Linked DNA regions of Lytechinus pictus. The protein of the gene in region 1 purifies or fractionates together with the protein of each later gene. This does not show direct contact. Links are inferred from orthologs where the notes say so. Each region holds a gene or a part of one and is shown in the gene's direction. Other genes may lie near its edges. The genes, in order: RCC1-like G exchanging factor-like protein; pseudouridylate synthase TRUB2, mitochondrial-like.

Region 1 (12,643 bases):
AAACACATTTCACCTCGGAAATTGAACTTCATTATTTTGTGTGATTTACAAACTGATTTTTTAAAAGTGCTCTGTAAACATGTCAGTTTTATGGTCTGAATATTAATATTTTCTGTTCGTGCTGCGCGCTCGCGAATTTTGATTGGTACCTATCATTCTCGTGCATTCCATACATTTTCTAAATATCCCTTTTCGGGTCTGATTGTCAAATCGTATCAGGTTATACCGAGTATGTTTTACGTGACTGCTAAGAAAGCACGAATGCCTGTGAGCAAGCAATCAGGGGACCAACGGCTTAAGGTCCTCTCCGAGGGACCTGGTAATGAGGATAAATGCCTTACCAAAGGGCACTCGCGCACCACTTGGGAATCGAACCCGGTTCACCGGAATCCGAAACCCCCGCTCTACGACTGAGCTATCGCGCCTCAGCTAGCGCTGCACGCTCGCATTTTGATTGGCGATTTATGTATGTCTCAATATTGATTATACAACAAACTACTTGAAATCCCCTTTTCATGACAGTTTATCAAAAAAATTGGCTCACGGTTCGCGTTCGCATTAATGGTTAAATATATGCATCATATTTATAGTTACAAAGGTGCTTGAAATGTCCAGATTTCAGGCCATACTATCAGATTTCGCGCCCTCATTATGCATTAATGAATATTTAAGATATTTCGGGTGATTTCATGCAACGGTCTAGAGTGGGCCATAATGTGCCTGCACTGTACATCTATAGGTCCTTGGTTGAAGTCAACGACCCTATATAGCTATAAACACCCCTTGAACCTGAATTTGGTCAATTACGCCGTCTAGCACGTTTTGAGAACAATGGATGAAGGTGTGAAAATCACAAAGCAGCTAACAATAGGAAAAATCCGTTTCAATGTGAATGTGAAACCCTGAACATGCTGAATGCCTCATTGTCTGTATGTTACTGCTGTGTACTAGTAGGTCCATGGTTATAGATCAGTTGCGTGCATGTCTTCTCCAAGCCGATTCATAGCTTGTCGGTGGCTTTAATGCACGTAAAATACAAATATACATGTAACTCTCTGTCCCATTATAGGGCATTTTGAACGGAATCGCCGATGAGATAATTTTGACAAAACAAAAATGAATCACACTAATTATGCAGCAGCAATGTTTCTAAACATTACATGATCAAAGAAAAGACACGGGATGATATTTATTAAATTTGTTAATGGCAGCTGGTCTTTATGATAAAACCATAGGTCTATTTTACCTTTAAGACATGAGAAAAAAAAAAAAATCAATTATATAATTAATGTGTGTGTTTTACTTTTTACAAACGTGTATCAATCGAACATGCTGACTACATGAAGAGTGTCGAGGTCCATTACATGATTTATTGGTATTTACACCGAGTTATCAAATAATGGTACACGATTTTAGAAAAGAAGTTTTGAGTGTCATCTCGTGTACGTCAAATCTTAGCAAATGTTAAAAAGTTTCTGAAATGTCAATACTGTGAAAGTATATGCACTTCATTAAACGTGGACATCAGCAGGGTGGTCTCCATTAAAAGGATTTTTTTTTTTGCCCTGTCGATGTGTACCTCTCGATGTAAGGAGGCGATCGGAGCTGCACCCCTTCCATATTGTCAGTGAGAAAGGAAGAAAGTGATTACTCGAGATGGAGGGTGAAAAAGAGGAAGAGGATCTGTAATGGGAGGAAGAAACATAATAGAACGGTAGGGCCGGAAGGAGAGGTTGGCCATATAAAATTATGAAAACATTCAGGTCACTATTATCAAAATCAAGTTCAAGTTTATTTAATACAGGATAGATGCTAATCTACAAAATCCCCAAAAGAGAGAAAAGAGTTGATATAAGGTTAAGAATTCAGACTATAGAACGGAATACCATTTACAAACACAAAATAGGCTATGCACAAGCACTTCCACCCGTATGCAATACTTTAATGAGGGTCTTCATCCGTCCAATGACATGCAAAAAGTACAAAATTTCCCTTCGTGTACTTCTCTTCATTTTGTGAAGAGAAGTACATCCTTTTCCCCCAGTGATTAATTGATTACAGTGATTAATTTTATTATGTCACAATAAACCTAATTATGGCAATTTATGCACCCCCAAGAAATAGTGCTGAAGGCTCGGTCTATCTCTACACACAGACCACACACACTTCGCACAGTTCAGTCAAGGCGGTACCAAACGGCCGGTGCCAAATATACGGAAATTGTGAGGAGCGCTTTTCCTATAAAAGGAATTGATATGCATAATAAGGGCTTAAAACTTGACCAAAAAGTTTATCACCCCAAATTTGAGAATATGGACCCCGGATATGGACCCATGTTTAAGGCCAATATCTAAAAATTGGGGGCATGAACCCATGTATCTAAAAGCAAGTATCTAAAAATTGGGGCCATGCATGTTTAGGGATTTTCCAGCATAAAACCATACCCCATGTTTAGAGATACTATCACGTTTGAGCGAACACTGCCTATTGAAACAAAGGGTATGAAAATTATGCTGGGCTGGAATTAGCCTTCCATTTTTTGTCAGTTTTTGAGGGGCAAATTATTTGGCTTTGGAACTTGCAATGTTATGGGCGTTGTGATAAATTATTGATCAACCAGTTAGGAATGTTTAAGCAAGTTTTATGAATTATTAAATTGAACAAAAATTACACATCTTGGGCAACATTTCAACATTATCATGTGGCTCTCAGCAATGTGTTCATTGGAGTCAGGAAAATAGGGGGTGAGATTGGACGTAAGTGGGATAAGTAGGTTGATGGAAAAAGGGTCAACATAACATTTTAGCCCCCCTCCCTCTCTCTCGCACTCCCCTTCTGTTGAGTGACTGATTTTTATTGTCATGTACGCGTGAAGTCCAGAGCAGAATGTTAATTTAATTATAATGATAATTGGGGCATCAACTTTTTCCTATCAACAATTTATCAATAAATCAACTATTTCAATGGGCAATGTAATCAATCAAACATTCAGTTTTTCAATAAAGTATTTCATAAATTATAATCAAGTCAATTTCTTGGTAATCATTCAATAAAAAGAAAGAAAAAAAATGACTATCAGCCACCGGTCACTTCAGTGGCAAATAAGTTTTGAAAAGGCTACCCCCGGGAGGCTACCATCCAGGAAGTGAGAGGGGTCTGGAAAATTGAGGGGGGGGTGGAGATACATAAGAATTTTATTTGTAAAATGACAAAAAGATGATGAATGCCCTTTCAACCAAGTCTTACCATATCTCGCTTGTAACAGGTACCATCACATTACTCCGACTCACAAAACACACTGCTTAGGTCTACAAGATGAATAGGCTACACTAAATTTAAAATTCCTGTTCACTCAACCATCATTCTTACAAGTTTCAAAAATCATATTTGTTGGGGAAAATCCAGCATAAGTGTTACCTTCCCCTTAAAAATCCCAAACTTAGGATTTTTTTAAGAAGTCACCATGCAATCAAATTTTGCCTCATTGTGATGTCAACCATACGATAAATAGACATAAGGAGAAAAATTTGTCCTTAATTGACATCGTATACAATTATGTTACCTGGTTATTGATCATTCGTTCTCTGTATATGAGGTTCATGGGTCGAATCTCGAACCAACTGAAGAGAGTTGCAGCTCCGTAATTAGCTTGAAGTAGAAGTTCGCCTTGGTGAGAAACACTCATGAAACTGTTCAGTCTAGGACCTACCTTTAATTTTCAAATGAAATTCAATCTCGACAAACATGCCCCTTCCCCCACTGTCGTTCCATCACAATCGCCATAATCATAATCATAATCATTGTAATCATCAAAACTAGGATTATTATCATAATTAATCTCAGCACCTTCATCACTGTCATTATCACCGTCATCATCATAAAACATTAATCATCACCGCGGGCGGCGGAGCAGAGGATATATCCTTTGTTCATAGGGTGCATCATTATTGTCCCCCACAGCAAAATATTATCCTCTGATCATCACTATTATTGCTACCATAATCACCAATCTTGTCGTAATAAATATTCTCGTGATCAATTACGATCATTATACCATCATCATTATATCAACATTATAATTATTATCACCATTCTTGTCATTGCCATCATCGTTGGGATTACAATCATAATAAAGTCATTGGATTCAAATGGGCCCACGCAGGATTGCTTCGTAGCAAAATCGACCTGTCGTACTTAATACGCTCTCTAGTTCCGTCGGAGTTCCACTGAATAGGAACACTACGACATCTGGTTATGTATTCACTAGTTGGTCCAGGATTAGGACTAACATCGCCAGACTGAAGTATCTTGAGCTGAAATGTTGCAGACGAATTGTAGTAATAAGATACTCGAAGTTTTGAGTACTTACAGTGAATCTCCTTAGTTGGGTGTCCTGTATTGTATTCAATTTCACAAGGTAGACTTGCAGTTGACACTTGAAAAAACTTGAAAAGCACAGTGAGAGTGAATAGGCACAGTGTCAATGGCTCCATTGTGCTTCAAATGCAGGCATTCAATAGATAGAAACTGTCCGTTCAAGTTCAGCGACCTTGAATGGTGATAGCTGGACATATAATACACATGTACAAAATGGCTTACAGATTTACAAGCTCAAATCAAAACCATGTACAAGAACATCCAGTAATATCTCATCAATACAAGCAAGATACAGTTGCAAATTTGGCTACAAGTATCCTTGCAAATAACAAACCTATCTGGTACAATTATTAATGAGAAACAATACATGTAAACAGTAGAAATCATACACAGCTCAGAGAGCACAAAAAACCATGTCAGCCACGCAGGGCGACTTACAAAATCATATCAGATACGCAGTAGTGCGCGTCCTCATGACACGATCTGACCCATGCGGTCAAGCCTTTTATACTGTACGCAACTCGGTATTTAAGTGCGACTCTAAATCAATCTTAAATCTTTGTGAAACACCCCCTGGTGTGTATTCAATTAACTTAACACAAGAAAGGATCACCAGTTGATCATACATGTAAAGTCACTCGTAACTTACGAACAGCTTTATGAAATACTCATTGGGGCTTTGTCTTACAGAGAGTTGTGATAGGTACATGTAGGGCACTTCCATAAAATAATCAACCTTTTTGTACGTCCGACCCCCATTTTTCTCAAGTTTTACTTCACTTCATAGACTGACCATTGTCATGGTCATTTGAGAGCATTACATACTATCAAAAGAACAAGAAATCAGAGACAGAGAATTTCATGAAAGTCCCACATATATACATATTTTATGGAATTGCCCTGTAGGTTTAAATCAAACTCAAAGTGTGATAGATCTAAAAATCCTATCACTTAATTACACAAATTAATTTAGATCAATTGCAGCAATTCAGGTTTGATTCAAATTTATTGTTATATGGCAGCTCTTTGTAAGATGGACCCCAAAATTTGTATATTTTTATCTGTTTTAATATATCAGAAGACACAAGGTTCTTGATTTTGGCTTTTGAAGGGTTTGGGGTTCAGGTGGGTGTTTCAAAAAGCTGTTCGTAAGTTAAGAGCAACTTTAAGAACGACTGGTGATCCTTTCTTGTGGTAAATGGTATATTTATTGGCGATGGTTTAGCGTGTAAGAAATGTTCACCAGTCGTTCTTAAAGTCGCTCTTAACTTACGAACACTGTTGAACAGCTTTATGAGACAGCCCCCAGGATTATATTAGGATCAGGATCATGATTAGGGTTAGGTTTACGGTTAGGATTTGGTTTTATGTGTACGAGCAAGTGTCTGGAGCAAATGTCTTATGTCATGGGATCTTACCTTTCTAAAACTTTATGAAACAACACAAAATATTACAATTACTACTCATGTCTATTTTATATTGTTTTATAATAATATACATTTTGGTTTAGAGTTACTTTGAATATGAAAAAATATATGTATATGAATGATCTTATCTTTATGCCTCCATGCTCCGCCACAATTGACACTTGTCAGTGAAAAGGACCTGCAGCTTGCTTCTTATGAACCAAATTCCACCAATCAGGGAATGATTTTCCCAGTTATCACATTGGAATCAATGTGCTCCACATGTTTTAAAGATTAACAGAAAAAAATATTTGTGTAGCAGATTTTTTTTCCCACAGGACTACAGAACGTTGTTGAGAGCTTTTGTATTTTGACCAGAAATACTGATCAAATTACATGTAGATAGGCAAATTATTCTCTGCCAATCTAGAATTGTTTCACATTTCTTGTGGAGTATTATATTGTAATTTATCTCATCGCAATGGACTTTTGCGTATTTGATTTTTTTTTAACGTCATCTTTTTCCTCTCTTGGGCAGATCACAACAGCATCTTGTGGGTATGGGTTTTCACTGATTGGCAGCCATACACAGGACACCAGTAAGGTCTGGGGTATGGGCATCAATACAAACTCGCAGATTGGATATCATCCCAAAGCTATGACAAGTGGTAAGAAGAAAAATAAAACTATTCAGAAATGGGGAGTTATCCAATATTTTCGCATGATGACATTAGCAGACATGCCAACCGTTCCCTTTTTAGAGTATTTGTTCCTTTTTTTTGTTGCTATAAATACACCAATACCTTTTTTGTATGATTTGTTACTTTTTTTCAAAATTTCTGATCATGGAGTATGTATTATACACAGCGTGTGACACTAGCGCCGGTTCGACAGTCCCAGACCAGGTAAAAATCACTGTCAGGCCAGTAACTTGTTGCCTGAAAAGAACAAGTTAATCCTTGCCTATGAGCACATGTTTATTGGGTGAAAGGGAGGTACGATAATACGCCAGTGGCGGACTGTACCAGACTGGAAGAAGAATTATGAAGAATTTTTCAAGTAGAGTCATTTCATATGTTTTTTCACCGATCTCACTACAACAGGCTGGCGATTGTTACGTTGAGACAAATTTTTAAAAATACTCTTTTTTTGTCAAAAAATACCTTTTTTCCTTATAAGAATACTTTTTTTGGTTGTAGAAGGTTGGCAAGTCTGCATTAGCCCATATTCTGAATACAGTTTTAACTTTAATTTAAACTATGATCTAAAAGTTGCGGTTTAACTATAGTATGGATAGCCAATTGAAATGAAACTGTTACATGAAATTATCTTTGAATTTCAGCCCCAGGTATGGCAGTTTCCCAGTGATTTATACATTTCCCGCCCAGGTGGGAAATACTGGGGAAAAACTTGTAAATGCTTGGAAGTACTCATTAAAGATGTACATGGAGTACCTGAAAATACATGAAAATATTCAAGAGGCATATTTTATAGTATATCCATGCATTTCCCATTTTCCTTGTACATGTAATTTTTGAGCTAGTATTTACTAGTGATTAACTACTGTTTCCTACTTGGGCCAACTCTTTTCTGCCCTCTAAATTTGTATTCCGTGTCAAGTGTTTGAATCCCACCGCAGCTTGGCATCCTTTGGCAAGGCATTAATCCACACTTTGCCGCTCTCGACCCAGGTGCTAAATGGGTACCCGGTAGGATGAGAAAGTCACTGTAGCTTGTCCAGTACTGTGTGCGCTTCACTGGTGACTGACTGGAATACTCCCCAAGGAGTGGAGGATGTGCATACATTGTGTACGGGAATGACCGATTGAATCCGATGACCGGGGTAATATATATGTAAAGCGCTTAGACACGTTGTTCCGATGTATTAAGCGCTATATAAAAGCGGATTATTTTTATTATTCTCTTTTTTTGTTGCACCTGCTTATTTGCTAGTTGAGGGAATGCATACCATCATATCACCAACTGAAATCACATTACCTCTGAAGAAGCCACGGAAGACCAGAGTTTCTCAGGTATCCTGTGGTAGATCTCACTCCCTTATACTTACAGATGAAGAAGGTGGTAAGTACAGAAATAAATAATTTCACGTAATGCATATGATCTTAGGTGCTAGGTCAGCTACATAGGGACCCAAGGGGGGGCACTCAAAGTTATTTTTGCTGGGGGTGTGTGCCTCACGAAAAATCTGAAATTTGAAATGGGGGTCTAAGGAACTGACTAAATGGGTAAAGTATGGGGTCTTGGGGTATCAAGAGAACTGAAAATTAGGTCTGAAAAAGGTGGTCATCAAAGCGGCAGGTCCCCTTACCACCAATATATGTGAGTGCCCCCCCCCCCCCCCCGGGCATGGGGATATATTAATATTATTAATGCTTCAGTGACATTTCCCCCAAGGCGGCCGTATGGCTAGTCGAACACAGCTGTTTTACTATACAAATAATGAATATTCATTCATGCAATGGACAGAATACTTTATGAGGTGAAAGATGAAATAAGATGAAATTGATCATTCATTTTATCTTTCACCTCATGAAGTATTCTGTCCATTGCATGAATAAATTCATTGTTTTATATTGCACCTAAAATAGATCCTTGTCATTTGGCATTTATAAATTTGAATTCAGTGCGAATGCGGTCTGTTGATTGCCGCATACATACAAACACACTTACTATAAGACCGAAAAGTTTACGTGTAGGCCACTGCCAGTGGTCAGTGTTGCACGCGCGTTCAATGGAAAAGTCGTATGGATCCAAAATTGCATGGATGATGACGTCATTGTAAAATGGCCTGAATGATCAACATCAAACAACCAATCAAAGGACAAGGATCTATCCAGGTGTCATATAATCATTTTTATTCAAACCACGTATATGTAGCTGATACAAAAAATGTTAAAATGGCTGTTTTTTACTCGCAATACGGCCGCCATAGGGGAAACGTGACTGCGCCATAGCCTAAGTACAAGAAAGGGTCATCAGTCTCATGTAAAAGCCATGCGTATAACTTACAAACAGCTTTATGAAACTTATGTTTATGTGGGAGATATCATTTGCTTATCTTCACGGATGAAGAAGGTTGTCAGTACATGAATAAAGATTTCCGAAGAATAGCATAAGGACAATATAGTATGTTGGAAATAAAGAAGAACATATGATTTTGTTATTTTGCAAATTTCAATGCATTGTCAAGTGATCATGGTTTTAGCACTTGTGTTTTTATTTGGATTGACTTTCCTTTTCTATTTGCAGTATACAGTCTTGGCAATAATTCTCATGGTCAGTGTGGAAGGCCCATTATACCCCATGAAGATTATAGGTAAACGCTAACATCACATGTGTTTCATAAAGCTGATCTTTAGTTACAAACAGTTTAATGAATGACTGGCATAAGAAATGCCAAATATAAAATTTGAATACAGAGTCACACCCGCTTTCATCTGTTATACAAGGACCACTTCTCTTTAAAGGAATGGTCCAGGCTGAAAATATTTATATCTCAAAAAATAGAGTAAAATTCACAGAGCAAAATGCTGAAAATTTGATCAAAATTGGATGACAAATAACAAAGTTATAGAATTTTAAAGATTTGCGTTATTCCCGTGAAACATTTCTAGGCATGTCTTTATGAATATTCATTAGGTGGGCTGATGATGTCATATCCCCACTTGTTCTTTTGTATTTTATTATATGAAATTAGGTTTATTCAAAATTTTTCTACCAAGAACTAAAACAATTGGATTGACAACTGATTAAGTGCATTAATAGTTATTTATTGCCGCACTTATTTCATCATAATGGAGACACATCATTTACACATGTATGAAAAATGAAACATTTATGATTTCATGTAATAACATGAGAAAAAGGAAAGTGGGGATGTGACATCATCAGCCTACCTAATGAATATTCATGACGATGTGCATATAACTGCTTTCACAAAATATTGAAAGAAATTATAATTCAATAACTTCTTTATTGTTATCCGATTTTGATGAAATTTTTAGCATTCTGCTCTGTGAATTTTACTCTATTTATTGAGATATGAATATTTTCAGCCCGGACCATCCCTTTAAAGACCGCAAGTTTGGTATTCCTAGAATACTGGTAGTACTCTGCAGTGAAACATGTATTAAATGAACCTTTGTATAAAGACCACCTGCTTATATATAAACTCCTCAAATTTTTTTTGGAAATCTGACTTTGATCGATAACCCCTCCTCGATTTTAGTGAATATTCATGTGTTGCATATAGATCATTTAATTTTCTTTAAAATGATACATGATATGATTATGGTTCACACGAAGGTGCAGTGCCTTGAAATGTGGGGCAAGGTCAAAATTCAAAAGTTGCAAAATTATACAATATTGAAAGTCACTGTTCTTTTTTCTGTGGTGATGAGCAAGTTTCTCAGCGGTTTCTTTTGTTTTCATGCACCTTAACATCAGCATTAACATGGAATCAAACACACCTCTGCACACATGGCACAAGGAAACACATAACAATCAAATGTGCATGGGTATCTCAAACCATGACTCAAACCATGTTATCTCACAGAACCATCACAACATAAACCACAACTAAACATAAAAAATGAAGAAGTAGGGGCTTGATTTGAATGGATTTTCATCTTTATTGACACAGACAAAAGAATCATGTTCTTTATTGACCCTTCATAACCATTTCTACTCGTTTTGCTGCTTTTCAATTCAGACCTCATCCAACACTTTTGAATCCTGCTCTTTTTGTGATGGCATGATCATAACAAGTATGGTATCATTTTAAAGAATATTAAATGATCTTTTGAATGATATCAAATTTGCATTGTGTAAAATTTGGAGTTGGGAGAAATTAATGGCCAAACTCAGAATTTTTTAAGGGTTTACATTTCTCCCTTATGAAGTGAAGTATATTATACAGATTTCACTGAATTTCACATCATTCCATTTTAATTGTGACAGAACATACACTAGCTGTAAGAATCTTCAACATCTATATAACTTCAACTAATGTAAGAATGATTGAGAACCCCTATGGCTTTCCATATTCTAGCCACTGTAGAATATTTTGTTATGATTCTGTCTGCAGGAATGATTCTGTCTGTGGCGGGCAAAGAGATAACTCTTTGCCCGCCACAGACAGAATCATTCCTGCGCCACATTAATTTCAAGGTGTAACCCTGGCGGGGTTTTGCGTGAGCTGTGCTAATTCAGCTCACAATAGCTTTTGATCGGTCTATTAGTAAAAGATTTGTGTGTACACTGCGATGAACACACCACTTTTGTGTATGTGTGTACGAACAACAGACTTAATGCACTCTGTGTGCATTGTGAATCGAATGTGACTTGTGTCGAACTTGGCAGTCTGCTGTACTAGTTGAACAAAGTGGGCAAAGAATTAATGTGCAGCTTTTAGAAACAGCCCCCTAATACAATTTATTTAGTGTATAACAATTTTAACATTGTCAATAGTTATCATGAATGATCAATATCAAATTATGAAAATGATGATGATCATAAATTTATTAATTTGTATGCTCTTCACCTTTTTATTGTGTCATATCTTTGATTAAAGGACAAGTCCACCGCAACAAACAGTTGATTTGAATATAATGACAAAAATCTAACAAGCACAACACTGAAAATTTCATCAAAATCGGATGTAAAATAGGAAAGTTATGACATTTTTAAGTTTTGCTTAATTTCTCAAAATAGTTATATTCACATCCCGGTCAGTATGCAAATGAGGGCACTGATGACATCACTCACTCACTACCGGGTTTTTCTTTTGTATTTTTATTATATGAAATATGAAATATTCTCATTTTCTACTCATTGTCCTGTGAAACAAAGTTTTATTTTGCCCTGAACATGTGGAATTACCATTGTTTAACATTTTATGGTTCAGTCAAGTTGATCCTTATTGTCAAATCTGTAAAAATTGAAATATTGTATAATTCAAACAATAAAAACAAAAGAAATAGTGAATGAGGGACGTCATTGATTCTCTCATTTGCATGTGACAGAATTGTGCATATAACTATTTTGTGAAAAATAAGCGAAACTTTTAAATGTCATAACTTTCTTATTTCACATCTGATTTTTATGACATTTTCAGCATTATGCTTGTCTGATTTTTTTCTATCAATTCAAATCAAAAATTTTCTGAGGTGGACTTGACCTTTAAGCAGTTGTTGCATTGTGACTTTGACCAATTGCCTACTGGTAACTGATTGCCCTGAATACCAGAATCCAGTAGTCAACAGATTTACTGTTTAAATGCCCTTAAGCATAGTTGTGCATTTGGTTTTAGATATATTGCTTGCTCTCTATCAATTAGTCAATGAATCAATAAGTTCAATTTCATCCTTTTGTTTTTTCAGTTCTAATAAAGTCATCCATAAGATTGAAGGAATAGACGGTAAAATAAAACAGGTAAGTTCACATTTACAGTTATTTCATGTAAGTATATCATTGGGTGTTTTACTTGAATATTTCTGTTTAAAATTATTTTTCTGTCCCCTTTTTCATGATTTATTTGTCTTAAAAATACCAAGAAATAAATATTCACTACATATTGCAGATCTGGCAGCATTGGCGGAAGCATAAATTTAGACCGCACTCGGTCAAGATTCCATGTACCGGTATCGTGTCTAATATGATCTGCATTTTATCTTTACATTTAGGTGTGTTGTGGTCATGATCATAGTCTGTTTCTGACTGAAGATGGGCATGTATACAGCTGTGGATGGGGAGCTGATGGCCAAACGGGTAAGATACCAGTCTTAATTTCACAACTTTGAAACAATTTGTCTCCACCCTCAAAAATTGTAAATGAAGGA
Region 2 (12,990 bases), on another chromosome or scaffold:
CCCATAAACTTGAAAGTGACTTCATCTGTGTGGTGGATATGTCATCAGACTCATCATTTCATACCCATTTCTGTAAGAATAATATTTGTATTTCCTCATATTCCATTACAAGATTGGAATTCATGGAATTTACATTACATGATATATGGGGAAGCTGCCTGTATATGACGTCATAAAATAGAAACTTCAAGATTTATGACTTTCTTAGATTTTATGGATTCTCATCAAAACTTTGACTACATTTCTCTCAATTTTTTCTTCTTTCATCAAAACCAACTTATTGTCAGGGTAAACATCCCCTTTGAGCATGATCTAGAATACTTGCCCAAATCAACCTTCTATAAACTGTAAAACATTTAACCAAGTTGACGCTTTTTTTTTAGACCAGGTGGTGGTTCACAAAGATTTAAGTGTGACTTGGGGTCGCACTTAAATTTCAGTTGCGTGCGACATGCATTATATAACGTATCACTGCATTGGTCAGATCATGCGCACAGGGGGCGCACTACTGCATATCCATCACTCAGATTACGCGTTAAATAACATAAAATGTGCGCATTGACGTTGAAGCATGACTCTAATACCATGGTCACATTTACTCTACGGCGGCCGTACGGCGAGTCGAAAACAGCCGTTTTATTAATTTTGTACAAACCACCTCTATGTAGCTCGTACATAAAATGTGAAAATAGCTGTTTTCGACTCGCCGTACGGCCGCCGTAGAGCAAATGTGACCAAGGTATAAGTCACACTTACTCTTCCTGTGAAACACCCCCCTCCCCCTCCACCTGAACGTTTGACTAGAATGTTGACTTAAATTGCTGTCTCAACTGTATCATGAAAGAACGATTTCTATGAAATTATTAAAGAAAATAAAGCATAAAATGATAGCTTTGGAATTTTAGAGCAAGTGGGTCCATTGAACCTGATGAATTTAAAATCTAAATCTCATACAGGAAATATTTAGGAAAAATATTAAGTCGTCAACAATACATCCCAAAAATGATGTACAAGTAGTTTCACACTTCTTTATCCAATCAACCCACTTAGATATTTTCCACAAAGTCATGAATATTAAGCTAAAAATGTTAATGTTAAATGGTATCAATTTACATTTAAGAATTTAGTTAAATTCTACCACTATAAGTGTTGACTTTTTTGCTACGAGCTCAACAGAAGTATGACTGAATCACCCATCATCTTGTCTCTTTTGAGATTTGTTTTATATCAAAATAATTCTGGAGATGCATGGTCATGAAGGTCATCCACAAGAGTTCATCCTTAACATGGTTAATTGCACCTCTATATTCTCCAACCTGATTTTAGGGGTGAAATCTGTGAACATGACATAAGCAGCTTCTTCTTCTTAGTATCAGTGGAAATAAGGATCAACTTCAAGTGAGAGTGAACTGTGTGTGGTCTCTCATTGACTGTGTGATATAAATACATAGTCTTAAAATATATGTTTTCAGATATCTACTAATACTAAAGAGAATAAATTGACCTATAATTGTATTCGTATAGAGAAACTAAAATGTTTTGAGATGATAAGAAATTGTTTTGCTACTTGTTAACATAATTATTGCGGTATATAAATGTATTGAGTAATTAATGAGCATGTTATCATTTAAGTGGGTCTAGACTACACTAGCATTATTGGTCAGGAAACTAGCCATGTATGAGTAGATGAGGACTCGAGATGGCGCTATTGGTTCGTATCTGCTTTATATACTTGAATGGTGAGCGTCCTTTCAGATAGAAACATGTTTTAATTGAGGCTCTACAAATCGGTACACGTGTTCAAACTCAGTTCGGCATCTCAACCATGTACATCAAGATCCATCATAGACCATGGATCTGATGTCAACACTTGTCCAAGACTCAAACATCAGGTAGCACTGCCAGAATTGGGCATACTGCTGGCAGGAGAATGGCAAATTTGGACATGTTCATGATCTTGCTGGACATGTCCTGTATGTATTTCATAATCCCGCATGAACATCTGTTCTCAGCATCCAACCAGCACGATCCAGGTTGCTTCTGAAATCCAAATTATGCTGCTGCATGTTCCCTGGAAAATAATACAAGATACAAACAAAATTACAACAGTTTATTCGGTGTCTCACATTAACAGAATACGACCACAATAAAAATGAAATCACAAATGAAAGTACTAGCAACATGATGATAAAGCAAGATGGAGTGGCAATGTATGTATTTCCAAATCAAATGTAACTTTGGAGTTAAAAATCATGTAACTACCGTACAGTGGCAAAGCCAAACTGCCCCCCCCCCCCCTTGTTAATGTGAAACAGTGCAATCCATGTCTATTGATTCATTAGACTCTGATTATGTCGCTGATCATAACATTTAAAAGGCATTTCATGTTTGTCATTATTAATTAGATCTATCATCATAAATCACCATCAAATATCATTATCATCTTAATGAACTTTTCATTATTGATCTATAAACTTAATTATTTGAATTTAATAATTTCTGAAAGACATTAGCGTTAACTTAAGGTCTTTCTACAAAATGAATAGACCAAAAGCTTCAGTCTTTCTATTCTATTTTGGTTGTTCCGCTGAACTGCGTTGGCTCCAATGGGGATGATAGTAAATGTCAGAAATTGTTAAATAAATCCCCAGAAACGACGGTTCTTCCTGTCTACAAAATGAACTTAATTGAATTGAAAGACATGCAATGCAATGGCAAATAATTTATAACGTTAGAAAGGTCTCTAGTCTAGGCTATCTAGCAGTGTCAGTGCCAGTGGCACTTCTTACTAGGCCAGAGACTAGTTTGAATTGTTGACTTTGTTTGACTGCATACGAATTTACGGTAGACAGTCGATTGATTAATATTAATAATTAACATGATTAATGACATTTCTAATATTATCATGGAAATATATACTCAACAAACAAGCAGCTTACTAATTAGTAGAGTCACTCGCCACCTCTAAATTCTCCAATTCGACTTGAAGTAGATGGAACAGGTCTGGGATCGAATCCAATCCGTGCACGAATCCTTTCATCGCGGGTCTTCGCGTCAACAACCTCGCCAGCGGGAACTACAGTTTCTTGGTGGGCCGCTGCCCCGTTGGATGTGCCTGCCTGTCCGTTCTTTTCAGTTGGGCTCAAGCCCACAACTTGTTCCACTCTTCTTTTTTGTTCCAGCTCCTTTTTAATGTTATCGAATTCCTCGAGATCTTCCAACTTCAGTACAATACGCGTGGGTCCTCTTTTGATCATGTCTGTAGTATAATTTGTAGTTTATTGTTGGCTTAGTGAAGTCAAGGTCAAACTCGTTAAAAAACGGTTTACTTTCGCGTTCGCACATGCAAACAGTCTGAAGTTATAGAATAAATTCCGTCTGTGTGTGTGTATTTGAGTTTTGTCAGACGTGTATCAATCAGAAATGATTATTTACGTCTGGGACCGACCTTTAACGTCACCATCCGAAAGACGTGACCAGGGCTCGAACCTCTGCATCAATTTGTAACTTCCCCACATAGCTTGGATTACAGGCGCACGCCACAACGCCCACAACACAACGTCGAAACAAGTAACCCAGGACAACGGTGTCGTTGATTAATTTTTCATTTTCGTGCATATAATTCCCCCCCCCCCCCCCCTCTTCCCCATTTTTTATCCATGACCTTTGAAAAAAAATAATAATAACAATAATAATTACAATAATTATAATTAAAATAATTATAATTTAAAAAAAATAAAAAAATAAATAAAGGGGGAAAAATCAGCAAAAAAGTCTACTTGAATGATAGCTATTTGGGGGAGCAACAATAAAAAAAATCATTGGGAAACCCGGCGGGAAACTCTTGAATGCATGGATCTGATAGCTATATAGAAGTAGGCCCAAACTTAGAACTTATTGGACGGGTTGTAGCTCAGCGAAATAGGATAGCCTAGGTATTATTGATGCAAGCGTCAAGCGTGAGCTGAAAATTGTTTGCAGTGACTCATGAAAGGGATGGGCCTATAACTCACAAATCAAAAAAAAAACGAGCGCGAAAAGCGCGAGCTAAAAATTTTGAATATTCCGACCTGAAAACTTGATTCTTATTTCAAATATCGTAACTGACTGTGCCATGGACCAGTGATGGCCTGTTGGTAGGGCCTACATACAGTCACTGACCAGCAATCAGCAGTGGCGTAACAGGCGGGGGCGGGGGGCAAGCTGCCCCCCCCCCCCTGGCGGATTTCACCGGGAAAATAAAAGAAAAACGGGGAAAAGAAGGGAGAAAAAAGGGAAAGGGGAAGGAAAGGGGAAAAGGAAAGGAGGAGAAGGAAAGGGAAAGGGAAAGGGAAAAGGGAAAAGAAAACGAAGACTAAAAACATTGTTTTTAAATGGAAAAGGAAGGAAAGCGGGAAAATGTACGAAAGAAAAACATTTGAGAAAGAACAAATCATTCCGAAATAGGCCTCTGTAATGCAATAACACGGTGGGAAATACATTAAAAGATGACAAAATGGCAAACAATAGCGGGAAACGAAGTCAGAATATTATTAATCAAAAGCTTAATTGGAACACAAAGAAAAGGGACAAGAAAAAAAATAATAACACGACCGGGCTGCCGATGATTGAAATTATAAAGAGCGGGAAGAAAGATGGACTGCATACAACATTGTGCTATAAGCTTGCTATTATGCAAATAAGCTATAACGCCCCCTTTCAATCACGTTCAATTACTGGCAGTGGCATACAGGCGCGGGGGGGGGGGGGTCTTCCACACCCAAGAGGAAATTATAGGAGACAACGTATAATGAAATGAATGGAAACAATGAAATGTGTAATTTGCTGAATATAATGGAAAAATCATAACATAATTAGAATTTAATTTCAATAGGCAATTTTTTCCAGCTCGCTTTACACGCTGGCGACTTTTTACAAATTTTTCCCACATTGCTATGTTTTGCCCCCTCAAAATATTTGGTTCATTACGCAACTGGGTTGAATAAATAAAGTGTTGTGTAATTAGCTATATTCTGTATATGTCCGCGATTTGATTAAAATAGCGGCAATCTGCGAGGTTTAAATGACTTTGATATCAAGCAGTTCCGGGGGCTCCGCCCCGGACCCCAACCACACAGCACTGCGTATGGAAGGGTTGGGCCATGGCCCAAAAAAGTTCTACAAACAAGGACAAAAAAGGAGGAAAGAAAAGCAAAGGAGAATTGTATAGGATATGATTTTATTTACTGAATATGATGTTTAAAAAATATCTCAAAGTTAGATTCTCATGAAAAGGTGATTTTTTTTTCGCCCGCTTCGCTCGCTCGGGACTTATATAAAGCAGCATGTTAGCACATGTGCTATACTGCGCCCCTCGCTTTTTGTTTTGTTTTTTGTTTGTTTTTACTCTTCACACTCCTGCCGCAAAGAATACTGTTCACAGTGGCGTACAGACCACAAAAAAGGAATCTAAAGAGAAAAGACTGAAATATATTATTTTCTGGATATTATGTCAAAATCTATCACAAAATTGAATTTTTGTATTAAAAAGGTCAAATTCTTGCGCGCTCGCTTCGCTCGCTCGCAACTTGTTTTCAAAGATAAATTCTGCCCGATACGCAATATCTGGCCTTCTCAAAATAGTCGCCTCATTACACCATTACGCCTGTTCATATACCATGATATGACCGGGAAATTTTTGTCTCTCGCCCCCCCCCCCCCCTGGCCACCGATCCCTGTTACGCCGCTGGCAATCAGTGGATAAGAGGTTCAAATCCTGGTTGAGCCCTGGATTTTTCTGACATTATCAGATCGATCAATGTGATTTTACTCACTAATTGAAAGCCATAAATTGTCAATTCATTTTGGATGCGAGAAATTAAATTCTGCAAGTATAGGCGAAGTAGCAGATTATGCAGAAGTGCAGAACTGAATTGAAACATGCAAATTGACTAGTATTTTAAACATTTTTTTTCCTTAATGTTCCTTTTTGCGCTTTTTTTTTACTTTGCCTATTCTCCTTTTTTTTACCTTTTCATTTTTGCGTCCCCCTGAAAGTGGTACCCGGGGCACGTGCCCCCCTGCACCTTTCCCCCCCCCCCAGATACGCCACTAAGGGTGACAGTGGTACAGAAATGCTGACTGCTGCTCGGATTCACTGCACTCTTTAAAGGTCAAGTCCACCCCAGAAAAATGTTGATATGAATAAATAAAGAAAAATCAAACTAGCATAATGCTGAAAATTTCATCAAAATCGAATGTAAAATAAGAAAGTTATAGCATTTTAAAGTTTTGCTTAATTTTCACAAAACAGTGATATGCACAACTAGGTGAGTCAGTCGATGATGTCCATCACTCACTATTTCTTTTGTTTTTTATTGTTTGAATTACACAATTTTTCATTTTTTACAGATTTGACAATAAGGACCAACTTGACTGAACCATATAGCATAAAACAATGCTATCTACACATGTTCAGAGAGGAATTAATCATTGTTTCACTTGACAATGAGGAGAAAATTAGAATATTTCGTATTTCATATAATAAAATACAAAAGAAATAGTGAGTGGATGACGTCATCAGTCTCCCAGACCAGGGGAGTGTTTCATCAACATTTTCATCCGACAAGTTGTCAGATCTGACATCTTTCTCTGATGTTGATTGGCTGAGAGGTACTGTTACTATGGTAACTGTCGGATAAAATGGGACTTGTCGGATAAAACGTCCGACAAGTCCTTTCACGAAACGCCCCCCTGGATGTGAATAGAACTGGGGAGCGTTTCATGAAAGGACTTGTCGGACGTTTTATCTGACAAGTCCCATTTGATCCGACAGTTACTTATAGTAACAGTGCCTCTCAGCCAATCAGAATCAAGGAAAGATGTCAGATCTGACAACTTGTCAGACAAAAATGTTGATGAAACGGTCCCCTGTTTTGAGAAATCAAGCGAAACTTTAAAATGTCATAACTTTCTTATTTTACATCCGATTTTGATGAAATTTTCATTGTTATGTTTTTTAGATTTTTCTCTTTTTATTCAAATCATTTTTTTGTTGGGGTGGACTTGTCCTTTAAGAATCTCGGGTAAATATATCGGCGAAATTTCTTTCATGGAGGGGGGCGATACCTAGACCAAAAGCTTCAGTCTCTGTATTTTGGTTGTTCCGCTGAACTACGTTGGCTCCAATTACAGTAAAATGTCAGAAATTGTTGAATAAATCCCCAGAAACGACGGTTATTCCTGTCTAGGCGATACCATACTTTAATTTCTGGTATAATTAGTCGACAAGTTCAGCAGAAACCCCACTTTGTTTGAGGTGAGTTAATTACTTTATATTTTGCCTAGAATGTGTAAATATGGAATTAAATCGTTGATTTCAATAAAAATTATTATGTTTGATATACGACGGCCGAATTTGAGTGAATATATTTGATTTTATACGCCCTTAGATCTAAAAAAAAGAATAAATTTGTTTTTGATTGTGTTATTGCAATGCCGGGAAATGAGCTCAGTCCGAGGTACTGGATTCTGTGTAACGTTAAAGTTAACCTTTCGGCGCAGTTTCGCACTGCACCTGCCGATTTCGAGCAAATTTCCCCACCAGGTCTGCAGGAATTGTTCACAAATGTCATGGCAAGTCTGTCAGTCACATTTCGAGGTCAACGAACAATATACCCACTGTTTTTCCAAATAATGCGATCTGGAACGACTGTATTTTCGGCTCCGATCTCGACACCTGTCCTAATTAATTCATAATTGATAATTCTCAGTCTGACATTTTGCTTGGCTTCGCCGTAATGTTGATATGGACTGAATTTAGCGGCCAAAAGATTTGCCAGCGGCAGTTTGTTTGCCACATGTTTTTATGATCTAAATTGGTCGCTAACTTCTTCAGACCATATCAAAATTATGGCGAAGCAAATCGATGTCTGACTCTGAGCTGAACTCTTGAACGATGAGGTCGAGAAGGAAGCCGATATACAGCGGTTCCCGATCGCAATATTTCGGAAAAGCGGTAGGCATATTAACCTTGAAATGTGATTGAGGGACTTGCTCCTTTGTGTAACAGTTTTTTTTTTTACATAGGATAGTCTGTACAGAACATAGTTAACAACCATAAGTGCTAATTTATATCAAATTTGAGAAGTAAAATCAAGACAGGTCCACTCATTCAATGAACAAGGTTATGATATAACCTTGTTCTTTGTTAGTACTCCATCAGTCCATGTCAGGAAAAAAAGGTTGGCAAGCCAATTATGTTTGGCTTATCTTCTCTTAGTCTTTGGAACAAACGCTTGATTTTTTTACACTGTCATGTCAGATTCCATTACAGCTAATCATCATATAACTTGGCTCTTAAGTAAATTTGATTCTTTTAATTAATTACTTTTAATTATTTTTTCTAAATTGAAAATAGAGATTGAAAAATGAAAATTTTCTTGCCATATTACTTTCCACCAATAGAGGGCGTATACAAATATATGCCCAAAATTCAAGTTTTTGAGTGCTCTGGTGAATACTAATAAAATTATTCCCAAGTTACAATGAAAAATAAATTGCAACAGTGGAAATTAGTATTTTTGGTCACAAAAGTGTTCTATAAATGATTTTCTAAAGACAAGTGTGTGTTGTGTGCTGCAATGGCATACCATAGTCCTACCTGTAGATTCCCCACACTCCACAGGCAGGATGGTTGCAGTGAATGGGTCTAACTTTTCTGGTGTAGATCTAGTATATTGCTATAAGTTTAATTTCTTGGATCTAACTTCCATGGAATGAATATTAAATTCTTATTAATTTATAACTGAAAGAAATGATTTATGTGTAACCTTCAAGAGCAAGATTTAAATATGTGTCATCATGACAGTGTATAAAGCAACTGCACCTTAGATTAGTATGCTTATGCGTAGACAGCTGGCAGCAGTCTGTTTCGAGGAGTTTTTAAACATTTTTTATTTTTTTTAATTTCTCCTCGTAAACAGACGGCTCGCTATCGTGCAGCCACCATTAGGGGACTTACAATGCAAAATCCCCCCGTCGGGGCTCTTCAATTTTTGTCTTTAATGAATCAAACTTATGAAAATTAAAGCGACCGAAATGGAAATTAATATTCCCTCTTGGCTTTAATTGCCAAAACACGGGGAAAATCAAGTTAAAAGGAACAAAAACAGTGACTTACCTCGGCTGTCGCGCAACTTCACTGCCCTGTTTTATCCAAACTTAATACACATAAACATATGGCCATTAGTCCCCTGTACAGATCGCGCTAGAACTTCGGTCTCTGTATTTGGTGAGTGAAGCCAACGGAGTTCAGCTGAACAACCAACATAACATAGACCGAAGCTTTTGGTCTAGCTTATGCGAAGCCTTAACTCAGACTCAAGAGTGCAAGAGCATAGCAGGACTTGGATCTATGGAAAGCTTTGCTGGTTGATCTTTAAACTATGTATTTCCTTCCTTAAGTTTTTTCTTCTGGTAATTTTCTTCCCCCCCCCCATATTTCTGATGAAAATCAATAAGAGATATTAAAAAAGGGACAGTCATTAAGTAACAAGTTTACCCCGCCATATGATAATATGATGCAAAAAAATGCATTTTAGATATCTTATTACATATTCATATATATTTAGTTGTATTTCTTTCCTTCTTTTCTTTTTTCAACAAAGGAATAAGGTACGGATGATGGCTGATTTCAAGGTAGCTCGCAAGGCGTGGCGATCTTTGAGTGGTTTGTTCGCAGTCTACAAACCAGAAGGACTATCAACTCAGAAAGTCAAACATATTGTGAAGTCTACTCTCCTACAAGGTAAAAAAAACAGTCACTGTATCATGAAGAAAATTAGTCATAGATGAGAATGTTAAACAAAATCAATATAACTTCATATATATGTGGAGCGTTTTGGCCCAGTGGATTAGTCTCCGGACTTTGAAACAGAGGGTCGTGGGTTCGAATCCCAGCCATGGCGTAATTTCCTTCGGCAAGAAATTTATCCACACTGTGCTGCACTTGACCCAGATGAGGTGAATGGGTACCCGGTAGGATTTTTCCTCGAACCCTTTAGCGCCTATTAATATGGCAGCTCGGCTACAGCCGGGGTAATAATATGATACCATGTATCAAAGCGCAGTTGAGTATATGCACGTAGTAACTGCGCTATATAAATGGACATATTATTATTATAACTTCGTCATTGTAACAACTTTGAGACAGGTCTGTAAATCTGAACTGAAGACCTCTCTTTTCCAGCAACTGTGAACAGTCTGTGACGTAATTGAATGTGTTTTCAGAAATAAATGGGGCTACATAAGTGCTATTTATCATCAATATTTTTTGTTTCAAACTATTATAAGCCCTATCAAATTAACATTTCGACAATGTGGACCCGGTAAAACCACTCTGGAACACTGCCTGCATCAGAAATCCGGTTACACCATATTCTTAGGTTCTTTACATCATTGATGCTTTGTGCAAATATGAATCCTGACCAGACTACATTACTCAGACTCTTTGCACACTCTTTGTGGATGTCATTTATTTTTCTTGATTATTAACCCATTGCTCACTGGTACTGGGACTCCTTCAGTTGCTATTTTCACAAGTCTTTTCGCCATCCCTCACAAATGTACAGAGCTGAATGCGCTGAAGCAGCGACCGCAGAACACGCTGGTGAAGATTGTCCCGGAGACCGATGCCCGGTTGACTGCCGCCAACCCTGGTGCCTTGAAGGCTGTGGAGGTACCCAGCTACACAGATCATCCTATGGTGAGGGGACCGGCCTACAGGGACATTGCTGTTTCCGTGGTGTCCTTGGGACTGGACACCAAGGCGTGTGGTGTTATGGGTAAGTAGACAGCGAATTACCTGAAGCAGGGAAAAAATTACACGGGGGCTTGGGGGGATTTTGCCCTGGAAATTTTTTTTTTAAGGGTTCCTGAAATTCTCCCTTCATTGCAGTGTTTAAGCCTATCCCATGTTTCAGATTTAGGCGATTGGTTGTGAAATGTAGCTCCCCGAAAATGAAAAAGAAATTAATTTTTGCCTGACCTGAGGTATTCGGATTCTTAAAACTCTTTCTTAGGCTTTTTACCAGAAGTCAGAGCCGCATCTTTCATGCAGGAATCCTGGGAGTGTATTTTCATTGCTAACCCTCACACTTCATCACAGAAAAAAAAAACGATGGGGAATGCAGGAAACCCTCTGTGAATGTGAAGATGCATGCACATAACGTCTTTCCTAGCAGGATTTGTATCAGGGCCCCATCTTACAAAGAGTTACGATTGATCCGATCGATCTCAACTTTATGGAAATCCAGCAATGTCATATTTTTTTCTACAGGAAATTTTCACAATATTCTTTACAAAAAAGGAAAACACACTAAATTTTCAAAAAGGCAATTGATGTATGAACATACAGGGTATCTAGAAAATATTTTGAACAAACATGCATTTGGGAATGGGGGGACTGGGCATAATTTTCACCCATTTCCATTGTTCCAAAAGACTAAAAGCTTTGATATGGTTGAGCATACTAAGTGTCAATGCAGGGAAGGTCTCAAGTTAATTCTCCCAAAGCGTTTTGTTCACAACTGAGGATGGTTCGGTAATGGTGTTTATTTTCCTTGAGGTAATTTATGCTCTTAGAGTCCATTTCTTGATTACAATGCAAAAGACCAGAGGAGCTGGTTCAAGAAAATTGTAATCGGCATCAAACACCAAAGTATGTCACAAATAAAGAGCAATTGTTTTGTCATTAAACCGGCACAATTATGCATAGGAACTTGATGTCCGATTTACTAATCTTTTATGCAAGATTATTCAAGTTTCAAGTTTAGTTTATTTCTCCTCATGAGATCAGATAAAATACATAATACATAAAATAAACAATGAATAACAATGTATAAAATCACAATGTACATCAAATAAGTCATAGAAAATGAGGAGGGAAGTGGCAAAGAGAGGAAGATACCTTGTGACAGGCCAACTTATTACAAAAAAATAACTTAAACATAAAAACATGGTTAAAGATGTGAAATATGGAACTGTATTGGCATCCAGCATTACTGTTGCATCTCTTGCCAAAATAAGTGTTTTCTTCCCTTATTTTGAGTTTAGTCTTGGCTGTACGGGATGGAAGGAAGCTCGTCAATCAGTACCAAGCAGCGAGATTACCGCGGCAGTACACCGTAAGAGGGCGCTTTGGGGTGGCAACGGACACACACGACAGTGAAGGCAAGATTTGGCAGAAGACAACATATAGTGAGTTTCTGAGAGATTCGAGAACCGATCTTATGTCCTAATGCAAGAATGTTCTTGCTTATTTACACTGACTGGAGAAATAGAACATGTCGGGGGTGTTATAGTTCAATTTTTTTAGCTTGTGCTATTTCAGCTATTTTCATTTGTGGTTACTCTTACCCTTGACAATTACACTGCCGTCCCATGACAAAAGGAAGCAACTCTGTGGAAAGGGTTTCTTAGTAAATGAGGAAATATATCATCTTTTTTTTTTTTTTGGTCTAAATATGTAGAATTTCGAAACATCTATATTTCAGAAATTAGGAGCAGTGTGACTCCAATTCGTTTAGCATTATACATAGAGAGCATACAAAAAATATCTTAAATCAAGAAAAAGGTCAATTTTTAAGAAAATCAGAGTTGCTTCCTTTTTGTCATGGGAATTCTGGGAATGATGAATTCTTCATCTGGTCTATGAACATATTTTTAAAGGTGCCGCCTATATGGCTGCTCAGGTACAGCTGGGGCGGAGTATGATTTATGCATATAGTAAATGCGCTATACAAATGGATCTATAGTATTACCGTATTCAGGATTTGCTGAGGTGGCAACATCTCTTGTCTATAAAAAGGTTTAATCTAAGTCGCCTTTTTGTTATACTTACAAGATTATCTACTGAGTGCTATTCTGTCTAAGTCTCTTCCAAATTCCAGTGCTTCATTCATGTGTTATGACAAATGATAATGGCACTATAAGAGTTTTAAGAAGAGGTAC

What was found.
Region 2: the proteins of RCC1-like G exchanging factor-like protein (region 1) and pseudouridylate synthase TRUB2, mitochondrial-like purify together in Homo sapiens (affinity purification with mass spectrometry; 3 studies listed by BioGRID and IntAct, with this or other methods). This does not show direct contact. The link is inferred for Lytechinus pictus from reciprocal best matches to the Homo sapiens genes RCC1L and TRUB2.

What each region holds. Positions count from the first base shown.
Region 1 is NC_087245.1:39,113,743-39,126,385, reverse strand, and holds the start of RCC1-like G exchanging factor-like protein, read left to right. Parts: upstream 1-6,320; 5' UTR 6,321-6,396; coding exon 6,397-6,451; intron 6,452-7,736; coding exon 7,737-7,865; intron 7,866-9,053; coding exon 9,054-9,120; intron 9,121-12,184; coding exon 12,185-12,236; intron 12,237-12,487; coding exon 12,488-12,572; intron 12,573-12,643. UniProt on the Homo sapiens protein: Guanine nucleotide exchange factor (GEF) for mitochondrial dynamin-related GTPase OPA1. Activates OPA1, by exchanging bound GDP for free GTP, and drives OPA1 and MFN1-dependent mitochondrial fusion. Plays an essential role in mitochondrial ribosome biogenesis.
Region 2 is NC_087259.1:6,026,328-6,039,317, forward strand, and holds the start of pseudouridylate synthase TRUB2, mitochondrial-like, read left to right. Parts: upstream 1-7,249; 5' UTR 7,250-7,297; intron 7,298-9,647; 5' UTR 9,648-9,660; coding exon 9,661-9,787; intron 9,788-10,610; coding exon 10,611-10,823; intron 10,824-12,093; coding exon 12,094-12,237; intron 12,238-12,990. UniProt on the Homo sapiens protein: Minor enzyme contributing to the isomerization of uridine to pseudouridine (pseudouridylation) of specific mitochondrial mRNAs (mt-mRNAs) such as COXI and COXIII mt-mRNAs.